Drosophila melanogaster: one gene and its partners. The protein of the gene in region 2 interacts with the protein of the main gene of each other region in a pairwise test. Each region holds a gene or a part of one and is shown on either strand. Other genes may lie near its edges.

Region 1 (6,408 bases), on a different chromosome or scaffold from region 2:
TATTCGCGAGCAGACGGAGGGCGAGTATTCGGCGTTGGAGCACGAGTCGGTGCCCGGCATTGTGGAGTGCCTGAAGATTATCACCGCCAAAAAGTCCATGCGCATTGCCAAGTTCGCCTTCGACTATGCGACGAAGAATCAGCGCAAGAAGGTCACCGCCGTGCACAAGGCGAATATCATGAAGTTGGGCGACGGTCTCTTCCTACGCTCCTGCGAAGAGGTTTCCCGGCTCTATCCGCGCATCCAGTTTGAGAAGATGATCGTGGACAACACGACCATGCAGATGGTTTCCAATCCCAACCAGTTCGACGTGATGGTCACCCCCAATCTCTATGGTGCCATTGTGGACAATCTGGCCAGTGGTCTCGTGGGCGGTGCTGGTGTCGTTGCTGGTGCCTCCTACTCCTCGGAATCCGTCGTCTTTGAGCCGGTAAGATTCGCCATAAAGACATAAAGATAATCCATAAGATCGTGATTTACACGGTTCTCGAGCCTAGCTGTGCGAATCCACTTCAGACTATTCTTATCTCTAATACCGATTTCCGATTGCAGGGTGCACGTCACACCTTCGCCGAGGCCGTGGGCAAGAACGTGGCTAATCCCACTGCCATGCTGCTCTGCGGCGTGAAGCTGTTGCGCCACATCAACCTGCCCACCTACGGCGAGATCATCCAGAATGCCATCAACAAGGTGCTGAACGATGGCAAGGTGCGTACTAAGGATCTGGGCGGACAATCGACCACGCAGGACTTTACCCGCGCCATCATCCTGAACATGTCCTAGATGGGCACCACTGTCATCGCCGGCATCGCGATCAGCAAGTCTACAACATCATGGGCAACAACGTTGGCGCTTATATAATCGACATTAGACAGTTTCTGTTGTTGCCACAGCTAAATTTTGAATTGTTGAAAGAAACACCTTGAAAGTTCTTAGTTATCCTATTACGTCCAATTTTTTTTATTTGTCCCGATGTCTTCAGTGCATTCATTTGAGTATTATTTCCGGCGAATATTTAAGTTTAGTCCAATTGAAACGCCTGCAGACCCGCCCCGAATCCAAAAGTTGCGAATTCTTTAGTTTTACCAATTGGCAGTAATACATCGATCCTTGATTATGTTGTAATTATTTACGTATTATTTCCCCCCCCCCCCCTTTTTGATTTCGCAAAGATGCTAATTTACGGTCGAATTATATTTTATGTTTAACCCGTTGAAAAGCAAAACAAAAAAAAAAACCGAAAACAAATGATATTGCTAAACCAATTAACTGATAACGGATGGCTTTGAGTGGACCCACTCCACTGGAGCTGTGAGAAAGATAACAATAAACTCAAATCTAAATTAATTATTATTTAAAAGCCATTGTCAGTTCCGAGCTGTCTAAATTTTAAGTAATACAAACAAAAGATAAAAAAAAAAACCCAAACATATTTCTCAAACTTTTTTTTGACTGGAATGAAAGGCCAAAGGAGATTTCATCGCTATTCCCAACTCCGGCGCCACTTTCACAGGAAATCCAATCCCGTAAAGAGCCGGAAAAGCTCTAGTTGTTTTTTAAAAAACCAAAAACAAATTTATTAGAAAAGTCGATACCAAATGTAGCCGAAATGAAAAACTTAGAACACCAATAAGGACGGTAATGATTATCCAGACGCACAGTCCACGTCCGTCTCCAATTATTATCCACCCTTGGGCTTGGCCAACTCGATGAGGCGTGGCGAGGCTTTGGCCTTCAGAGCCGCCGGCGATATGGCAAACGGATTCTCCCGGATATGCGTGTTCTCGAACTCCTTGGGCTCCGCCAGCTCCTTGATCCGCGTGCTCGCCTTGTATTTGAGCGCGTTTGGCGCGATACCGAATGGATTCTCCTTGACATCCGCCAGTCCTTGGTTGGCATCGCGCGTGGTAAGTGGCTCGGACATCTCCTTGATGCGGGCACTCGCTAAGTGAAGCAATGCCAGGTGCTGCATTATTAAAAGATCAACTAAATTGGAGTATGTGTACTTACGCTTGTAGCGAAGGGCATTGGGCGAGACCTTCTCCGGATTCTCGTTGATGTGGACATTATCGCGCACGACGGGCTGCGATATTTGCTTGATCCGCTTGGTCGCCTTGTAGTCCTTCATCTGGGAGGTCAGCTCCCACTTGGGTTTGATCTCCTCCAAATAGGCCTTGGGACTGGCCAGCTGATTGAGACGCACGGGATCGAACTCCCCAGCTCCACGATCCTAAATGAAATGGGGGATTATCATCAGTTTTTAGCTGAATTTAGTTTTTTTTTTAACTTACCGGTTTCGGGACCTTTGGTGCTTTCTTTGGTTTCGCCAACTTTTCGATGTACTTCTCGTGCTTAGCCAGCTGCTTCTCCGTCTTCTTCTTCTTTTTCTTCCTGCAAGCACAAAGGATAATGGGTTTATAAATAATAATGAATGAACATAAGATAGATAGATATATTATCTTACGGCTTAACCAACGGCTGGATATTCGTGAGACGACTGTACAGCGATAGATAGCTGTAGCGAAGCCATCTGTTCAGTATGGACTCCCCAATTGAGTCGCCCGCCAGAATGGCCGTTCGCCGCCTGTGAAGCAATCGACGGACCGTGGGCAGAGCTAGTTGCTCGGTGCGTGTGTGATTCTGGGCGTCACATGGTCGCACCATCTCGATGGACTTGGGAAATGAGCAGGCGCATTTCGGCACAAAGCGGCAGGTGCGTCGCCTGGGTATGGCCATTTCCATCAGACGCCGCCGCTTGACGAACATGCGCTCGTGTCGGCGCGTCAGTTTGTCCAGCTCCTGGCCAATGTCCCTAACGAAGCACTCGGCATCGTAGGGAATGGGGTCCCGGATGGGACAGCAGTCCGGACGGACGCAGTCCTTCAGCTGCAGACAAGTGGTCACCGTCGGGCTGAGGTCACACTTCAGTCCTTGGATGGTCATTCTGTGGATTTCCGAATTTTGACGCACTACTTTAAACCAATTAATGCTAACTTTTTTATTCGCTTATGATAAAAAACATCTACGATTATCTGAACGAGTTGAAAGCTAACTTCATCTGGAGAATTTTTTGTGGCAACTAAGTACAGAAATTTTGGAATTTGACAGCAAATGAAATGCATACATTTTTCGCTATTAGACAAGATTTTTTAATACTTACCTAAGCTGGAATTTTAATTTCAAAATTAAGCTTTATCCACTTAACCCCGATGGCAATGAAAAGACGTTGTTAATCTTTAATTAATGTTTTATTGACAGTATTCATAAAAATACTGAGAGTATGCTCCAAGTTCACATCATTACAAGTTAATAGTTTTGTTTTTGGGCCTTGTTTTCCGACTGTCCCATCGGCAAGTTGTTAATTTTTTTAGTTTGCTCTCCGACAGCTAACGTATACCCTCTATTTTTGCTCATTCTGTTCACATATACACAAATCTCATCCATTTCTTAAGCAATTTTTGCCCGTTTCCTTGACGTTCTTCTCAACTGATTTCGGTTGGTTTTTATGCTTTTTTACAATGTTTTTGCTTCGGTTAATGTAATGTATCTCCTTACTCTGGTTGCAATTCAATTGGAATTCAGCAGTTCAGCACATGTTCTTATTTGTTCATTATTATTGGCTTCAAATTTGTTGATCGTTTTTTTTTTATTCGTTTGTCTTGCGAACAAAATGTACATAACGTGGAAACGAAAGGGATAAGCATAATGTTAATAATAATTGTTATACACCCACATCGAACTTATGCAATACACTCATACCATACACAAATATGTACTATAAATTTGAATTTAGCATTTACTAGGTCATTTTTTGGTTGACAAAAATTTTGCTAATTTGAATTTACCTTATTTGGTTTGTTTGTTTTTTTTTTTCATTTGATATTCGATTTGTTGAGAATCCCACTTGGCATTCGCTTTTTTTTATATACACAAAAGGTCAACGCCAAAGCGAAATAATAATTAGTTCTATGTAAATTGGGGTTTTCTCCATTTTCAATCAATTTTTTTTTTTTTTTGCTTGCCATCGAAATATGTATGTTCTTTTTACACTTAATCCAGTTTTAGTTTGTTAATTTCCTCTCATATCGTATACATTTGATTTTGACTTACAAATATAATTTTAATCAGAATTTATCCAAAGTTTGCATGGCCTGAAGTTTTCACTGCATTTAGATATTTTTTTTGTTGCTTTAGAATCTAAAGTTTAGGTTTACTTTTTGACACGCTAAATGTATATAATATATGTATATAGATTACCAAAAGGGTTGCTCCTTCATTTATGTACACACATACGATTTTCCGGGTCTGCATAATTTTGCAATAGTTTTTCACAATTTTTGTTCGCAATTTTTAACTTGATTTTTCGTCTCGTCTTCAAGATATGCCTTAAAACTTGATTTAGCTTTAGTTTTCAACGCCACACGTCGTGTGTGCTTGTGTGTTTACATTTTAGTATTGATTTACCATTGATTTCATTAGTAATTTCATTAATTTAAGTTTAAATCATTTCTCCTTTTAGTTGGTCCCTGAAGCTGTGTTGAGTTTAGATGTACGATTCCTTTGGCTCGTCTGTGTAGTTGGTGCCATTTTTGATTTTTGTTCGGAAAATTTCAAAATTTTTAAGTGGGTTGGAGCCGAAACATATTTTTGAAAGTGGTGAGAATCAACTAAAGAACTGAACTAAAAATCAAACTCAATTAACCGAAACTAAAGTTTCAATTGCCTTTTATTGTTGTTGTTGTTATGGTTGTTGTTGTTGTTGTTGGGAATTGCATCTGTTGAGTGCCAATTGATATTGTTGTTGTTGTTGTTGTTGTTGCTCATCTCTTGCATGTGAAAATGGAGCAAATATTGGCCACGTTAGAAGGGCTTAGGGTTTTTATCCACCTGCTACCATGGCCAATATTTACTTTGGGCTATTGTTCAGTTTATTCATATTTCGTGTCATCTGTCAATTATAACTATTGCGTATAATGGTATTAAGTATCTTGTTGCAATTGTTAGACGGTGCTTAATTTAATATTCATATTCGATTTTTCTTATATTCTGCAATGTGTGTGAACGGAGAGCCTCCTGTGCTGATGATAAATGCAAACGATAAACGAATGGTTTAACTAAAATATTTTCCATTTTATTAATAAACGTTTTAATTCGTAAATATATTGTATATATCTGGTTTGTTTTTGCGTTTAAAACATAATAAGTAAATAATAAAGATAACGAAAATTATAAACTTAAACTTAGTTATGTGTGTCTGTGTAAATATAATAACAATTATGCACGCCTTACTAAACAGAAATTTTGCTGTTGTAAATATTAATTTAAGGTTTACAATGTATTTATTACATTTAATCAAATTAAGCGAAATTGTAATATGTTTATAAATTACTTATCAAATAAAACATATTTATTTTGGATTTCTTTTTCAACGCAGAACAAATTGGTTTCACATTTTTCTTGCAGTTTTAAGTTTTTCTTCACTTTTATGTTTCTTTTTAAAATCTCTGCTTTTGTGTTTTTTTTTTAGCTTTATTGCTAATACACTTTGCTGTACTTATGGGCTATTGCTAATAATAATGCGAATTCTTTTTATTTGCTTATTGGCTTTTGTTTTCCACTAAAAAATCGTTCTTTGTTTTTGAATTTTGTAGCAATTATGTAATGCAAAAAAAAAATGTTATTTTCTGCTCTATTTTCTTTATTATAGTTTACCGAAAGTCTAATTTTATGAATTGTACTTACATCAGTTTGTTTGTTTGTTGTAAAAATAATGAAAAATATGCTCAAAACTTTTGCCTGGCTAAGATTTTGGTTGTTTTCGCTTTTTTTTTTGACGCCAATTGCTTATAACTATTGAAGTTGTTGGTTTTACGGATTGATTGATTGATTAATTATGAATATTATTTTCTAGGGCTATTGTTGTTGTTCTTGTTGTAACTGTAACTGTGTGGAGCTGTGGTTGTTGTTGTTGTGTTTATAAGTTAATAATTGAAATAAAAATTGGTTTTATTCATTATGTTTTTCTTCCCATTATTAATATACTGGGGTTTTGCCTTTGCAGTTCGATTTGGTGCTGCTTCTTTTTTCCGATTCGCGATTGACGATTTCCTGTTTCCGGTTCTGAGTTTTGTATCTGATATCTGATTCTATTGCTTGGCTATGATCGATCCTAATTAAGTGGCTATTGTATCGTATCGGTTATGTGGCTAAGAGTACAAATCTGTTTTGAAGAAACGTTTCTGTGTGTGTCTGTGTTTGGGCATCTTGTTTAAAGTTAATTGCTGTGGCTATTTCTATTTACTTGTGGCTATTTAAGTTCTGTAGTTAGAGTAGTACTATTGTTTATTTAAATTGTGGTTGCTGCTGTTGTTGTTGTTGTTGTTGGTTGTTGTTGGTTGTATTTGTGGA
Region 2 (7,820 bases):
CACTGGCGGCGTATGCGCAATATTTTGTGCAAACATGCTCCACAGAGGTAGTTAGTGGGGACAGGGGGATGTGTGGGGTGAGGGGCGAGGGACAAGGGCAGTGGGAGGACAAATATGCAATGTCAGTTACAGCTGCCCCATTTGGTTGCTCATACGCAGCGTTGCACATAAATCAAATGGGTCGCAAAAAGCTTTTGTGCATTTTCTACACTGAAAGAAAACGGACTCAATCACGTAGTTCAGCTAAGCAGAAACTATTTTAACTCCTAAGAGATTAGGCAATTTCTTATATTTTAAAGTCTTAGCATCATCGAACATTTAAGAATATATTAGTTAGTTTTACAAATTTCTTGCTGCTGGAACTATATAACTATTTAAGATATCTTTTTCTCTTAGTGTACTCCTTCGTTGATTACCTAGAAGGCAGCCGCTTCCGAAGCACAATTTATTGTAAATTAAAATGCTAAACAGGGCAAATGAGGACATTTAATTATCACATGCTGGCGAGGATCTCAGTCAAGCCTTGGGATAGTCTGAAATCGGCCATTACCCACACGCAGACATCGAAGGGAGGGGGGTTGCCCGAGTGGCTGCTAACCCCGTAAACCACACGATGACATTAATTACGGACCCGACAAAGGACTGGCGTTGGCCAACCCAATGGCCACAGCATAGAAGGCAATCGAAGTGGCGTGGAAGGAAGGGTTCTCTATAAAATTAATATCGAGTAATTAACAGGGCGAGTGCTGAGACTTAAGTAGGTGGGACACCAAAACCCCGATACACTCGATTAGGTGGGTGGGTGTGTCAATATTGACTTTGCCACTGCCACTTGGCTCTCTTAAGCGGCTCCTTGCCAATTAGCCAGCTCACTACGCTGATCCGGGAATTGGCCTTTAAAGTGCGGAATTGCTTTCGGCCTAAGCCCGGACTTCTTTATGGTTTCGAGAGCTTCCCGTCCACAACTCCTCCTCCGGCAGCAGCTGGGAGAGGCCCAGGCCTTGGCCTGCTTACACAAGCATGCCAAATGCGGCTTAGTTTTTGTTAACGATTCGCAAACATGTGGCCCAAACCCCAAGCCAAACCCCACGGCCAGCACAAAGGCGGAATTCGCTTTGATGGCATCTGTGCATGCGAGTTCTCTTTGGGCCAAGTCGTCACTTATTGACTGACTTGTGTGGGATGTACGCGGTCCATATAAGATGGATGAAACGAGAATCGCTTCTTTGCGGATAATAAAGCATCTCGAGGAATGCGCATAAAGATGTGTACTAGGGCATCTCAGGGGGAATTAAGTGTGTGATAACGGATTCGGATGACGATTCACACAATGCCACAGTCCAGTGGGAACTTCGGCGATCGAGTGAATAACACAGTCGTATTAATAAGGCTATCGAGGTCGAACAATCACCAGCTGTACTTACTTTTTTATATATATGCTCTCATTTCTTAATGAATAATTAATACGTGATTTTACATATAAAGGTATACCTAAATAACGACGGCCTGTGTCAAAAATGATTTACTTATGTTTGCTCAAATAATGAAGTATGAATAATGGTATATCTAAGAAAGTATTACAGCGAAATTAATAATTTGTAAGCATTCAACCCACTGTGCGCAAAACAATGCTCTCGAATCTATATTTAACCATTAAAAAGAGTCTTCCGGTGATTTCATGGCATGGCTTGATTAGACGTGGGCACATTTTACCCTATTTCACTTTTTATCTTTGCGCTCTTCTGAAGGTCAACGCAAATTCTTAATGGCAATGTGCTACAAATAGATACATATGTACTGGTTTTAGATAAATCTGTTTTGTCTTTTGAGAAAGCAACATCTGTTTACATAGAACTATCAAAAGATATTTAAATGTTAAAAAATTGCATACAATAGGAATCTCGCTATATATATTATAAAATGTAGTCACATATAGTCACTCAGAAATATTATTATCTTTCATAGGACGATGTATAAATCATTTTTATTTAGTCACATTATGACTAAGTTCATTGCTTGGGTGAAATGGTGGACAAATGTTTGACTAAGCCTAAGGTTTGGGGAGATTACCGGAATAATTACAAGCTAAGAGTCTACTTTGGTGCTTTGTTGTGCGCTATCTGAGGTGGCGATGCACGGCGTCGGTCTAGGGCAGATTGCAGCCCACCTGGGTGACGACCTTGGCGGCTACGCTGGAGGCCATTCGGATGCACTCGCCCAGCGAGCGCTTCTCCAGCCAGGCGTGCAAGAATCCGGCCACAAAAGCATCTCCGGCCCCAGTGGCATCCACCAGCTGCTCTACGCGCTGCGCCCTGAAGTCCTCAAAGCTTACGGGTCCGGGAGGAGCCAGCTCCTCCACGTAGTTGGTGATCACCTGGACGCCGGCACTGCCGTTGGTGACGAAGATGACCTTGGTGCCACCGGATTGCAGGAGATGATCCGCCAGTTCGTCGACGTTTCGGAACCCACCCGCAGCCTCGGCCAGCGCCTCGAACTCCTGTCGGTTTCCGAACAGGAAGAAGGCGGCCCGGGCCAGCTTCATCATAGCCTGGTGATTTTTCCTCACAATGTAGGGTGCACTGAGATTGAGAGCCAGGCGTCGCCGCTCCCGCACCAGGTGCTGCACTATGTAATCGCACACATCACTCCTCTGGGGCACAAAGAAGCCCTCCACGTACAGGATTTGCTTGCGCTCCACCGGTCGCAGGAAGCTCTGGCCTTCGTGGCTGACGGCGTGGCTCAGGGTCTGCACCTCGAACTGAGCCGAGGCGCCGATGTTGGCGTACAGCGTGGGGTTGTCCTGATACATGAGGCACACGCACTGCCCTGTGTGCGCATCCTCGACGGTCTGCAGCCTGGCCTCGATGCCGCGATCCCGAATGATCTGGCGCAGCTCCTCGGCGTGCTTGTCGGCTCCCACGGCGCCAAAGAAGAGCGCGTCTGTGCCCAGCTGCTTCAGGATGCGGGCAGTGTTGAGGGCAGAGCCACCCGGGTTTGTAAGGCACCGAGAGCTGAATTGGATTGAACTCGGATTAGTAAGTATAGCTTTGCAAAGGTTGTTTATTATGTATGTATGTAGTTACTAACTAAACCCTTGTAATTTTAGAATAACCGTGTAACTTTGCCATTTTCCATTTCCTACTTCGTAAGACGATTTCGTACAGGTATAAAAACCAGTTTTGCTGTCATTAGAGATTAGAAAGAAGGCCCTTCTTAACTTCTTAAGTAAAGATTGATTGTTGTGTACAAAAGTGCTATGTATAAACAGCCTTTGTAGCCCCAGTCCTATTTGTTGTTCATTCTTTGTATCTTTTCACAATTTCTTTGAAAGGTGATACTAATTATACTTGCAAGACCTTAACTATACTACTTATATGTAAAATCAGTCTAACTAAAAACCATAACTTGGGTCCAATTGTACAATTTCTTACAATCAGTCATTGAAGATAATGAAACAATCGGGCAAGATACAAAGGTACTCACCTCTCAGAAGCCTCCGCTGCCAGCTGGTTGAGTTTCTCCATGTCCAGTTCACCCTTGGAGCCCAGTTCCAGGCCGAACCGCTCCAGGAGTTGGGGATCCTCGAGCTGGACTAGTCGGTCGAGCAGGACGTTGCCGAAGCAGATGACCTTGCGGGGCCTGAAAGTGGGAAAGCCCAATGGTCAGAGGTGTTTTCTGCCGGGTTTTTCCGCCTCAGCTGCTACTGCTGATACTCACGTGTGGAAAGCCCCTTGCGTGTCATCCGTGGGAGGATTGCCCCCGAAGATTTTTTCGTACACGTAGCTCAGGTACTCCATTGTATGCAAAAACTAACGCTTGCTCGGGACTTTCGCGTTCTATTCGCAAGTGCTCCGGATGAAATGAAATCCAACAGTGATCCGCCGCTTTTGTCGTCCGGCACAGAACTGAACGCTCGGGCCGGTTTGTCCCGGTGTTTTTATCTCGCTCTCGCCAGCGTGCTCGATTTGTTTTTTCCCATTTCGGGCAATTTGTTTGGGCCAACTTCTTTTTACCTTTGTATCGAGCGGCCTACAAAGAGCAGCTTGACTTTTTCGACTTTTTTGACTTTGTCGAGTTTTTCAACAACACAGAGCTTTTGGCACTGCGCTGGCGCTCAGATTGTGGCTATCGTACTTGGCGGCGGCACTATGGTGACTCAAAGTCGCGCTCCACAAATGCCATCGAGTTATCCCTAATGACTATTTTATAATTTATGCGACTTAATTGTTTAGCGTATTACATAAATATTGCGTGTAATATTCAGACGTTTGCCAACACTTCAGTGCGGAAGAAACAGCTGTGAGCGTGTTTTGTTTACAGGGAAGAAGAAGCATAATTGAGTGCAAGAAAAGCTCTGCCGGCGAAAAAAGCACTAATCGGGTAAAAGCTTAGGAATCGAAAGAGCCAGAGAGAACTTGACAGAGCTGTCATCCGGCGCGAACAAATCGAACCGGTTATGTCAGATAGAAATTTTAAAAATTTTCTTTGTAAATAAATAAAAATCGAAGTATCTGTAAACATATACATTGAAATTACCTGAGCTCTAGTAACAACTCTTTAAAAAGTAGAGAACCTTACAATTGGAATATATAACGAAATACACACATTTTGCGGAAATGTTATGGCTTTCTTTCAGTTTCAGCTTTGTTTGCCCTCCTTTTTTTTTAATTTCACCAGGTTCTCAAAACAAGTTTACCATCGTGCAAAGAATTCAGCCCTGCAAGTGATGTACATCTGCCCACCAGCGAGCAGCTGAATCATTTCGCCATTATTCGAAAGGCGCTGCCAAATGTTTCGCAATATTATTTAATGCGAGACAAGACCTAATTATTTGGAAAGAACGTTGCTCGCTCAGATAACCGAAACTCCCTTGCCAAAAGCCCCACGATAAATAAGAGAATACATTATGGTATCTGGTTTGGAGTGGGAAAAACCACGCATCGAAAAAATAAACTGCACTGCATTGGGGGTTTTTCGCAGAGAACTCTTTTGGAAACTGGGTTTTCCCTGCAGCCAATCGCAGCCAAATGGGAAATCCCCCAGCATAGCCGCACTGCATACAAAATTGCACCTTGGAGACCTCCACGCCGGCGCGAGATATCTCGTTTTCCAGCGTGATGCTGGTGCACGTGAGGATTCGGGCGGCATTCATCGGCCATTCATGGTGGCTTGGTGACCGGTTGCAGGTACTCAGACTTGCGGACTTTGGACCGGCCTAAAATGGAATGCCGATAGCCGAATGCCGAATGTGGGGGAACTCTTCAAAAACCAGTTCCCACTCTCTTTTGACTCTTTGACTCATTTGGCTCTTCGCTTGGCATTTGGGTTTCGGTTTGGGTTTGGGCCCAGTTTAGTGCTGCGCCGGCGTGACTCAGCAGTGGGGCAACCGCCGGCGAAGTGCCTCCGATCCATGCCCGATCACTCCGTGGGCTCCACGATTCTCCCTCGAAATAAGCCAGCAATGAAATCCATCCAATGTGGTGGCTTCACATGTGATGGGCGCATGTTGCACACACAACTGGGTGGCATGGCACACAAAAGCAACGGGCAGAGGTGCCATTGAAGTCCCACGCAAAAGGCTAAAAATATCTGAATTCCTTGGGTTCGATTGTGACGTGCGGATCAAGCTGGATGAAGAACCAAAACTTCTAATCCGCACGTTCGCCGCAGCAATAGAAAATGCTGTAGTGGTGCCCTTTATGCACTTGTGACAACTCGAATTCCGCGCTGGAATGACAAGGCAATAGTTTTATTTTCTGTCACTGCAAATGCGTATTTAAGTAATAGATATGCATATTTGTTATAAAACAAGCTAAAATGGTACTCACTAGTATGATTATCTTGAAAAATATCACATGGGGTTAGAAACGGTAAAATAAGCAATTTTTAAGTACTACGATTAGTATAATTTGCGTATATGCGTATAATTTTTATGAATGGGTCAATTATTAAGCATAACAAATATAAAATATGCTTTTTATAATGATATTTTCATAATTACAAGTATTGGGCGAACAGATGACCAATGATGTCTGTCCGGTTTTAGCTAGAAAACCCCCAAAATGCCACTGCATTTCCGCGGTTCATTGGCCACTTTCGAGGCGAATTTGGCGCGCAAATTCGTAGCTGAGTCGGCGATTTCCAACTTTCAGCACTTCCGCGGCTGATCCACTTACTACAGGTATGCCCCTCATAAGCACGACAGTTGTTTATGTTTTCGGGTCTAAATACATGCATAGGTCAGTAATTCGAATCACCCTACTCTTAATCATAGTAGTATGTTATTGAAAGACCAGAAGCTTCTTCAAATTGCATGCACATATATATGTACATATTTACATACATATGTTATTGTTATGATCATGGGCTGACTATCAGCTTGGTTGGGTTGAGTTAAACATATCACCTGCCCAGATGCACAGATGAAAACAAGTGATCTTAACCTAAATATAACCCTTCTTATTTTGCCTTCTTTAGGGTTGTATACTTTTCATAGCTTTTTACTTTTTTTGTCGTAAATCTTGCTGAATTACATGCTGCAGCTGCCCAGGAATTGTTTTCAATTCTACGCTGCACGCTCAGCAGTTTGTTCAACTCCAAAAAACCAAAACACATGTATGTATGTATGTACATACATATGTAGGCATCGATTTTCAGGTGCTATTTATAGCCTTAACAAAACCTGCGAACCTATGCTGATTCGGCGATTAAAGTAATAATTAATTACTAAAGTGCACGGCCAGCGGTAGTTGAACCCCTTAGGAGAAGCGAGCTGGAAATTCCGCCGGATGGCGTAGTTCTCGGGTTCAATTGATAAAACTCAGTGGCGATCTCGACTGGCGATTCCGACACGTTCCCACGTGCCGAATGTGCAGCGCGGAGGGGGGGAATTTAAAATTGGAATGCCGCGATAAATTGATTAGCAACTCCCTTTGTGTTTGGACATGCGATTCTGTTTGTCCGGCCGTCTGGCCAAATGCAAAAAGAATAAGATCGTGCGAAGCCTGGCCAGAAATAAAATTCGGGTTAACTTGGGTAAGTAAGGTCATTCGTTAATCATACGCCTAGTATACGCGAGTTGCGCATACGTCGCGTTGGTCGCCGAGATGCGACACACTTGGACCTGTTGCTCGCCATCAGCCATCAGGTATTAGTGGTCCATTCACGGGGTTCTGGCGAAATGTATGTACTAAATTTAAGAAAACCGTTCAAGTGAAATTTATTTACGAATTTTTGTTCGAATTTTGATGAGCAAATTGCGATTTACTCAAAGCATGTTCGCACACGATTTTTTCGCGCGAAAGATAATGAAAGCGAAGCTCTTACTTAAGGGAGACACTTTCCCTGCCTTTGCGAGTGGGAGAGCCGAGTTTCCGGGGGAGCCAAGTTTCCTGACCCCATTTGGAGCGTCCAAAACTGCAGATTGCAGTTTGGGTGTGATGGAAAGAAACCCCCAATCTGCTAATTGCCGCGACATCAACGGAAATCTTTCGGATCCCAAAAAAAGTAATGAAAAAACCCGATTTGGCTGAAAGAGCGCAAGAGCGGGAGAGCGAGCCCCCCTAAAAAGCTCTCGCTCTCGCATTTCTGATGAAATTCAGTGGAATTCTCAGGCGGCGGAGAGCGCGGCTATAAAAGCGTTCGCTCGCCAACCGAAAGCATTCATTGTGAAATTGCCACTCAAAATTGAAACAGCGCGGACAAACGGTTGAAGAAACACAAAGCCCAGTGCGAAAAGAATTTCATAAGCAAAAGTTAATCGGGTGCTAAACAAAAACACTCGAAAGCAAAGCAAAGCATAGCAAAAGCAACAACAAACA
Region 3 (7,483 bases), on a different chromosome or scaffold from region 2:
TCACCCAAATTTTTTGGGGTGAGCCGCAGGGAGCGATGACCTTAATTAGCTGCCTGCGAGAATGAGACTTAAGTGCTCTGAAGTGGACTTATAGGGATAAGCCAATGAATAATTGTAATAGTGACCCACTGAACTGAAGTGGCTCCTCAGTTAATAAATTGAAAAGCATCAGCTTTAGGCCTAATTTGAGCCGAATATATTTCAAATACGTTCAAAACTAGCTGAATATTCATCAGTAATATATTGTAGTATGCGTGCGATGAACCTTGTTCTATAGAACTTTAAACTAAACTAGAGCCGGCGAGTGTTTGGATTTTTTAATTATTGTATTAAGTTAACATATGTAGAAGTTTTCTTATTCGGGGTGGTTGATAATATATTCGTAGACCAGGTGTGCACGATGCAGCGCCAGGCCCGTGATCACTCTCCTCACATCTTTGAGCTTCAACTTGGGTGCCCTACGGGAGCGGATCATGGTGGACACGACCACTGGTAGCCTGTTCCGGAGAGGGAGTGGTGATTGCATCATCATGAACGTTTTATGCACCACATTTTGCATCTGTAGGTTGATGACCTTCACGATCCGTGCCGCATAGTCCATACTCTGCTTTTGGGTTAGCGCTTCGGGATTATTGGGCGCTTTGGTCGCTTTGGGTACAACTGCCGCAGGCGGTGGATCTTCCTTCGAAACAGATTGACCCTCGAGGTTCTTTTCCTCGCCGGCAATGTCGACATCATTCGGGGTAGCCAATTCAGAGAGTGTGTCCTCACTGAGCAGCTCCTTCAAAGATAGTTTCTCCATATTCGCGAGTTCTTTGTTCATGTTCTCCATCCTTCTGGGTTTCGGCAGCAATCAATTTAGGGTTTTCCTCAGTATTCAATATTCCCAGAAGATTGAAAAGTTGGTTTTTTAATTTATTTCGCAATAGCTCACTTGAATCGTGTAGAAAGTAAAGGATAAAGTGAGAATCATTCAACGAATAGCTGATTAACTGGATCTAAAAGTCTGGGCATACTTAAATACCAATTAGTGTGCCCGCATGTGTAAAAAAAAATTCGAATAGGAACAGAGCTTTTGCAAAGAACACTTGACTGTACTCAATACAATGCTAAAATAATTTAAAAAAAACTATACACATTCTGTTATAAATAATATGCTCTATGATCATTTTTATTTCCAGTATTAAAAGTTAAGTAATTCGATTTTTCGAATCGAGTGTTTTATATAATAATCCACATATTTAATGTCAGCAGTAGTAAAATCACTCTTTTGATCATTTGCCTTAAAGTAACAAATATGTACTTGCTTTTCGATTTCTAGTACTAGTGTTGCACAATGACGTTAAAAGGTGTTACCAGGGTTTGAAACAAGTTGCGGTAAGTTAAGCCACTCAACGCCACGTGGCCATTATTATTTCATTTACTCATTGTAGATTGTTGAAAACTGTACAAGAAGTATAACCATTTCATACGCCTTAGGCTTCTAAAGAAAACTGTTTATTTTCCTTGCGTACATATGTTGTAAAGCCAATCATTTATAGAGTTTAAGATTATTATGGCATAACAAAGTTCAAGCTGGCAACTCTAATTTGTACCATTCAACAGATCAGAGATTGCAGTCATTTCGTACGTACACTTACAATGTTAATAGTGCAGCCATACCATTATAGTTGCGACTAATTCATTTTTCTAGATATGCAACTTTTTGAAATCCTCATTGGAAATCAAGAGTAAATGTCCACCCAGTAGCCCTCCATTATCCTTTTAATGCCTTCGTGTGGCCCGTCTGCCACGAGCTGCTCAATAATAAATACATGAATAGATAAACTAGGACGTGGATCGGGCAAGGACAAGGAGTCGCAACAGGACAGCATCTGGCAGCCTTGGCACGTTCGCCTTGTGCCCATAATATATTAAATACACGATAAGCACACACAAAAAAAAAAGGATGGAAAATATGTAGATATGGACTTGAGATTGCTGCTGCTGAAGTGGCAGAATGGCTGGCTCCTGCCTAGGACACCGGATTGTCGCTCTCGGGGATGACCAGCTCCTCCTCCCGGATCTTCTTGGGCAGCCGTTCCGCCACCTGCGCCCTTCCGGAGAGCTGGAACTGGTAGTTGAAGTAGTCGTACACGTACAGCTGCTTGCTGTGCACATAGTGAAAGGCCACCGGGTACTCCGACAGGCAGTCCATGCACTGCAAGAATACGAAGATAGTTTAGATAATAATCAAAAGAGGACAAGGAATGCGAATACGAAGGTGGAAAAACTATACGTTGAGGCTTGAATATCAAAGATAAAATGCCTCCTCACGCGGTTATAAGCCAGTGACGAACGCACCTTACCACCACCTTTCTGGTAACGAAGAATGATGATTACGTTCGACTAAATAATATGAGTGCTTGGCAAAATATGGCGTTGTCTTTGTGACACTTGAGTTTATTTTCTATTTTGCTGGATTGTTAAAAGGTACTGGATGGGTAAGCTGTGCATTCATTCATATATCTACATACATACAAACGTACTTTTAGTAGGGTGCTAAATGCATCCAAACTCACCGATCTCGGATTGTAGTAGGCGTACTTGTACAACCAAAAGTCCATGCCAACGTTGCCCGAGAGAAGGGCTCCATAAGGAGCTATGGGATAGAAGCGGTTGCGCAGCTGCTCGTCCCTGGAATCACCCGCCTTCACGCCCAGGTTGAACAGGCACTTGCCCATCTCGACGTCCTCGGCGTGATCGTCCTCCTGGCGACACTTGGTGGTGTCGTTGACGCCCTCGGCGAAGATCCTAAGAGCCTCGCGGCTCAGTACGTAGCCACTGCCGCCGGACATGTATGACTATTGAATCGGATTCATATTCAGTGAGTTTGTAATGTAATCCGAACCGGACAGAAGATAAACTCACCTCGTTCTTCTGGTGAGTGCCGACCATCTTGTAATTAAATCCAAAATAAATAGGTGTCTCCGGTGAATACGGGTAGAGCATGTAGCGCAGATTTTCCAAAAAGAGGTAGCTATTGATAGGAGCAGATTGAAAGTTCAGTCAAACTTTAATAATGCTATCTTTTCTTTATCGGTTCCTAATTATTCTTCATTCAACTGTTTTGGCTGTGGCCCTAACATTGAGATACCATCAGTAGTTACACCACAAAGGTAAAACAGAATGATAATAATGTTCAATAAATACATACATACATATATACATATGTACGTGTATCTGTGGTGACGAAAACAACCATCCATTCACTTATCAATTCCTGCAATAAAATGCCACTCTTTCCCTATTTAAGAATCTGAATCTTTCACATACGTGTCGTCGTCCGCCTTTATGAACCAATCCGCCTCGTGGCGCATCTGCTCGTGGATGTGGACAAAGGCCTCTTTGGTCTTGCCCCACAGCATCTCGTATCGGTCCGGCTTGGTCAGCACAACGGTGGGCAGCTCGTCATCCGGCTCAGAGGTCATGAAGTAGATCTTATTGCAGCGTTTGCCCCACGTTCGCAAAACGTGAATGGCCCGGGTCTTGTGGTATTTGGGTGTGGTGAGCACCCAGCACAGGACTCTCACCTCCCGATGCATCTTCTCGGCCAGGGTTTCGTTGCGCAGTCCAGGCTCCATGTAATCAACAGAGCTAGTGCCTCTGGACAGTGGCAGTGCGCCGGCGTTGAGCACCATTACATCCCAGTAGGCAAACAGCCCGATCACCGTGGTGCTCACCAGCAGAATGAGCAGGACCAGGCGATCGGTGGAGATGCGCTGGGCGGAGCGGTACATGCCATTCGCCAATCCGTTGGAACTGGAATGGAAGCCCGGATAAGTCGACGAGTTCTCCAGTATGATATATTCCCCGGCCATTGAAACACTGACTTGCGGCATCGTAAGCACTGTCTATACCAATCGAAAATGGTCTTATCGCCGGGAAAATGCGGCCCAGATTAGACAAGGTGGCTGGCAGAACTAATACTTATGTCGGGAACATCGACGAGCAGGTGCGCTCAATTAGTCTTATTACTAGGTTGAAAGAGAGAGAGAGAGAGAGAGGGAGGGAGAGGGAGTAACATGCACAGAACAGAGTTAAAATGAGTGAGTGAAAGTTGCACCAGAGCTGCGGAAATAGCAATACACTAATTGATATGGTTTCTAGGTGAATGGAAATCCTTATTTAAAAAAAAAAAACATATACTCGTACATGTGGCAAACAGTAGACAAAAATAAATAAACAATTAATGTAATTAATTGCGCGTATTTCCTGATCCACAATCATAAATATTATATTGATATATTATTGAGTAACAGTTAAGCTGCTTAGAGAGGTACCAAAAGCCACTATCTATTTAAAAACTCTAAAAACTTTAGTGGTCCAAACTAATTGCTTGCCAGCTTGGATTGTACTAAGAAATTTGTTTAAATTTCACTCAGCATAGTTCATTAATCAAAACACTTGGGACAAGCACACAGAGCAACAAGCACCTCGAAAGGAAAAATATAGAAATAATAAAAAAGTGAGTTCTAAAAGGGGGGGGGTTGGGTGAACGCAAAACCCGAAAACAGTTGAAGTTGAGAGAATCTTTCAATTAATCATGAGCGACATGTGGTCGTTGCTGGACGCTTTTCAGTGGCGTTGCCAAGATGGGGGGGGACTAAGGCGTGGGCGTGGCACACTGGCAAGGACCGCCAGCAGTGCGGGAAAAATAATATAGCGCATACGCCCTGTGGGGCACTCCAGCACTCCGACGCTCCGGCACTCGGATGCTCGCGTGCAAACAAATGGCTGCCATAATAGCGACGAGGCGGCATCCTGGTCGCATCCTGGTCGCATCCTGGACGCATCCTACACCCCGCGCCCCGTAACCATCCAATCCGCCTGCGCTGGCAAACAAATTCCCATTAATAAAATAAAATGCAGCCAGCGGCGGTGAGGAGTAGCGGCTAAGAATGAAAACTATTTGGCATTGTGGGCGTGTGACCCCGCTGCGATTTGCCACCAGCAAGCAGAAACCAGCTACCATTTCTACCATTGCCCATTGCCCAAACAAATACAAATTTTTCCAATAAAAGCGGCGGCTTTGCTCGCGCATTTTTTTCTCTTCGAATGTCAAAATTAGTTTTGGCCTGGGCAAACAGTTCAACATGAAATGCAAATAGGAGTGGGTGCCAAGTGGGCCTGATAAATGCCTTTGACCTTTCCGATGACGTGACCCACATGGGCTGTGGGTCCGCCCGACCATGGGCGTTGGCCAGCGGAGGAGACTCCATTACTTTCCCGGTACAATTTACTTTAAATGTATGTATGTAAGAACCACTTAACGCGTTCTTCCATTGTTTAATGTCGGTTCAACTATTTTGCCCTGCAACTTCGGTGGCAATTCAATTTAAAGGACAAAAGAAGCTGGATCCTGTCTCCTCTCTCCTGACCTATCCCATTTCCTAACTCTCCCCCCCCCCCCCTTTCAATCCCATCTTTTCGGCCGACACTGGCCCCACAATCAACAGTTCCTTTCCATCTGGTTCCCGCAGCCTCAATACAATAAAAACTCAGCCAAACAGGCAGTCCTGCGATGGTCGGTCGGTTGGTTGGTCAACTGCAAACTGGGCAAATCACAAAAATAAACCAAAGTCAAATGTATAACTGCAGATTTTTTGTAATAATGTTAGCTTTCGGATTTTACAAGCGCGCCAAGGCAAACGCCATTTGTCTCGCTGCCTGAATGTACTTCTCCCCGTCTCATTCGCTCCTTTCCATCTCTTTCTTTCGTTCTGTATGTAAATATGAGTGTGTGTGTGTGCATTGTTTGCCATGGAGATGACCGCGTGAAAAGATTCATCTTGAATAAATTGAAGTATTCAAACACAACTGAACTGAGCACATTTTTGAAAAAAGTCAAACTTAAGAAAAATGCATGAAAAATGATTGATAAGATAGGATATTTTGTGAAATCAATCTAAGATTCTATATAATCAAGATCGCTCATTCTCTCTCTCACTCCCACCACCACCACTACCAACCAATGCATGTGTCTGCGCCACACACATGCACACGTAAGCACACCGACGAACACACACACACACACACACACACACACGCAGTGAGACATCAAACGTGCAAACATTTGCCATATTTTTGTAATCAAAGTAAACAATCCACTTAACCCAACACGGACATGCAAAACGACCGGCAGCTGGCTGTCCTCCAGCCATCCCGCTCTGAACCTCAACTCATCTCACTTCCGCCACAGTGAAACGTCTTTCGCTATTTCGATTCGATTTTTTTTTTTTGTTGGATTTGGAGGCCAACGACACCAGTGCTGCACTCCACCCACTTAACCCACTCAATTGGATGGCTCTGCGAACCACACTCATATTTTGTACTATTTTGAAACTTAACTGAATAAATAAGAACTAATAAGCACTATTATTATTCATATTGTTTGCTGGAGAATTTAATAAATCCTTTTGCCAACTGCTCAAATAGTTTTTAAGTAAATATTACTACTTTAGACAAATATCATAAAATCATGTTAAACCTTATTTCATAGCATAATATATTTATATGTATAGATAGATTAGTTCCTGAAAACATACTTTCTCATAAAAAACGAATCGAATATATTAAATACCATTCACTCAATATAATTCCATATAATAATTTTTAAAATGATTTTTTTCTTGTGCATCCACTGCTCGTTCATATATCGCTGTCGGCATCCGTTTGTTGCTATTGTCACTACTGAATTCCAGCAGTTTTTTTTTGTTTTTTGGCCCCACATTCCACTGGGATGGAGCGAGGAGGAACCGACTCCTGGGCACGTGATGCCTTTCGATGTCTTGGCTCGTTTTTTATGCAAACAGCATTTGAATTTGAAATGAAAACGCTGACGGGCGCCGCCAATGCCAATGCACATGGAACTGGGGCTCGGATCCGGTGGCCGGGACTTGGGACCTGCGATCTGCGAATTTCCCTGGATCCGGGAGCTGGTCCTCCACCCTCCCGAAGTCCTTCGCTGCAGGGGGGAGGCCAATGCCATTGCATACTTGTGAGCACCGTGCGGTTACTTTTAGCTCACTGATATGACAACGGTCCATCCAAAACACACGTAAGGAAGTAGGGTGGCTCATATTGTTAGGCAGATTTGAAATGCGCTTTCCATAGCTAAACATTGTGCAATATCCATCAGTGGAAGTGTTATGCAGTATGTATGCAGCAATATATCTCATAAGCATAACCGCAATCATAAGGATTAGAATCGCACATATCGCAGCATACTTGTAAGCACTTCTTTTGCTAAAAGAGGTAATAATGGTCAAATATAACCAGCTTTTTAATTGATTTTCAATATCTTTTCTGTACGTTTTTGAGCGCTTCTTTGAATTGAGCCACCCTTCCGTGGGCGCATTGTGTCCATTGGCATTTTGCTGGCACAAACACAAGAGTCATGGCCGGCGGATGGGGTTTCCAAGGGGATTGGGCAAATAGTTTT

Evidence for each region. Proteins that work in one complex are often made in the same cells at the same time.
Region 1: the proteins of Adk3 (region 2) and Theg interact in a two-hybrid assay, tested with the Drosophila melanogaster proteins (one large-scale study listed by BioGRID).
Region 3: the proteins of Adk3 (region 2) and tgy interact in a two-hybrid assay, tested with the Drosophila melanogaster proteins (one large-scale study listed by BioGRID).

What each region holds. Positions count from the first base shown.
Region 1 is NT_033777.3:22,011,363-22,017,770, reverse strand, and holds Theg (testicular haploid expressed gene), read right to left. Parts: upstream 3,075-6,408; 5' UTR 2,944-3,074; coding exon 2,465-2,943; intron 2,392-2,464; coding exon 2,292-2,391; intron 2,231-2,291; coding exon 2,011-2,230; intron 1,945-2,010; coding exon 1,682-1,944; 3' UTR 1,559-1,681; downstream 1-1,558. Other genes in the region: Idh3b (isocitrate dehydrogenase 3b), read left to right, coding at 1-430, 553-783.
Region 2 is NT_033778.4:7,241,505-7,249,324, forward strand, and holds Adk3 (adenosine kinase 3), read right to left. Parts: upstream 4,273-7,820; 5' UTR 3,798-4,272; coding exon 3,718-3,797; intron 3,640-3,717; coding exon 3,484-3,639; intron 3,012-3,483; coding exon 2,147-3,011; 3' UTR 1,520-2,146; downstream 1-1,519.
Region 3 is NC_004354.4:19,123,445-19,130,927, forward strand, and holds tgy (twiggy), read right to left. Parts: upstream 3,873-7,483; 5' UTR 3,861-3,872; coding exon 3,316-3,860; intron 3,020-3,315; coding exon 2,911-3,019; intron 2,844-2,910; coding exon 2,562-2,843; intron 2,201-2,561; coding exon 2,015-2,200; 3' UTR 1,559-2,014; downstream 1-1,558. Other genes in the region: CG15882 (uncharacterized protein), read right to left, coding at 356-832.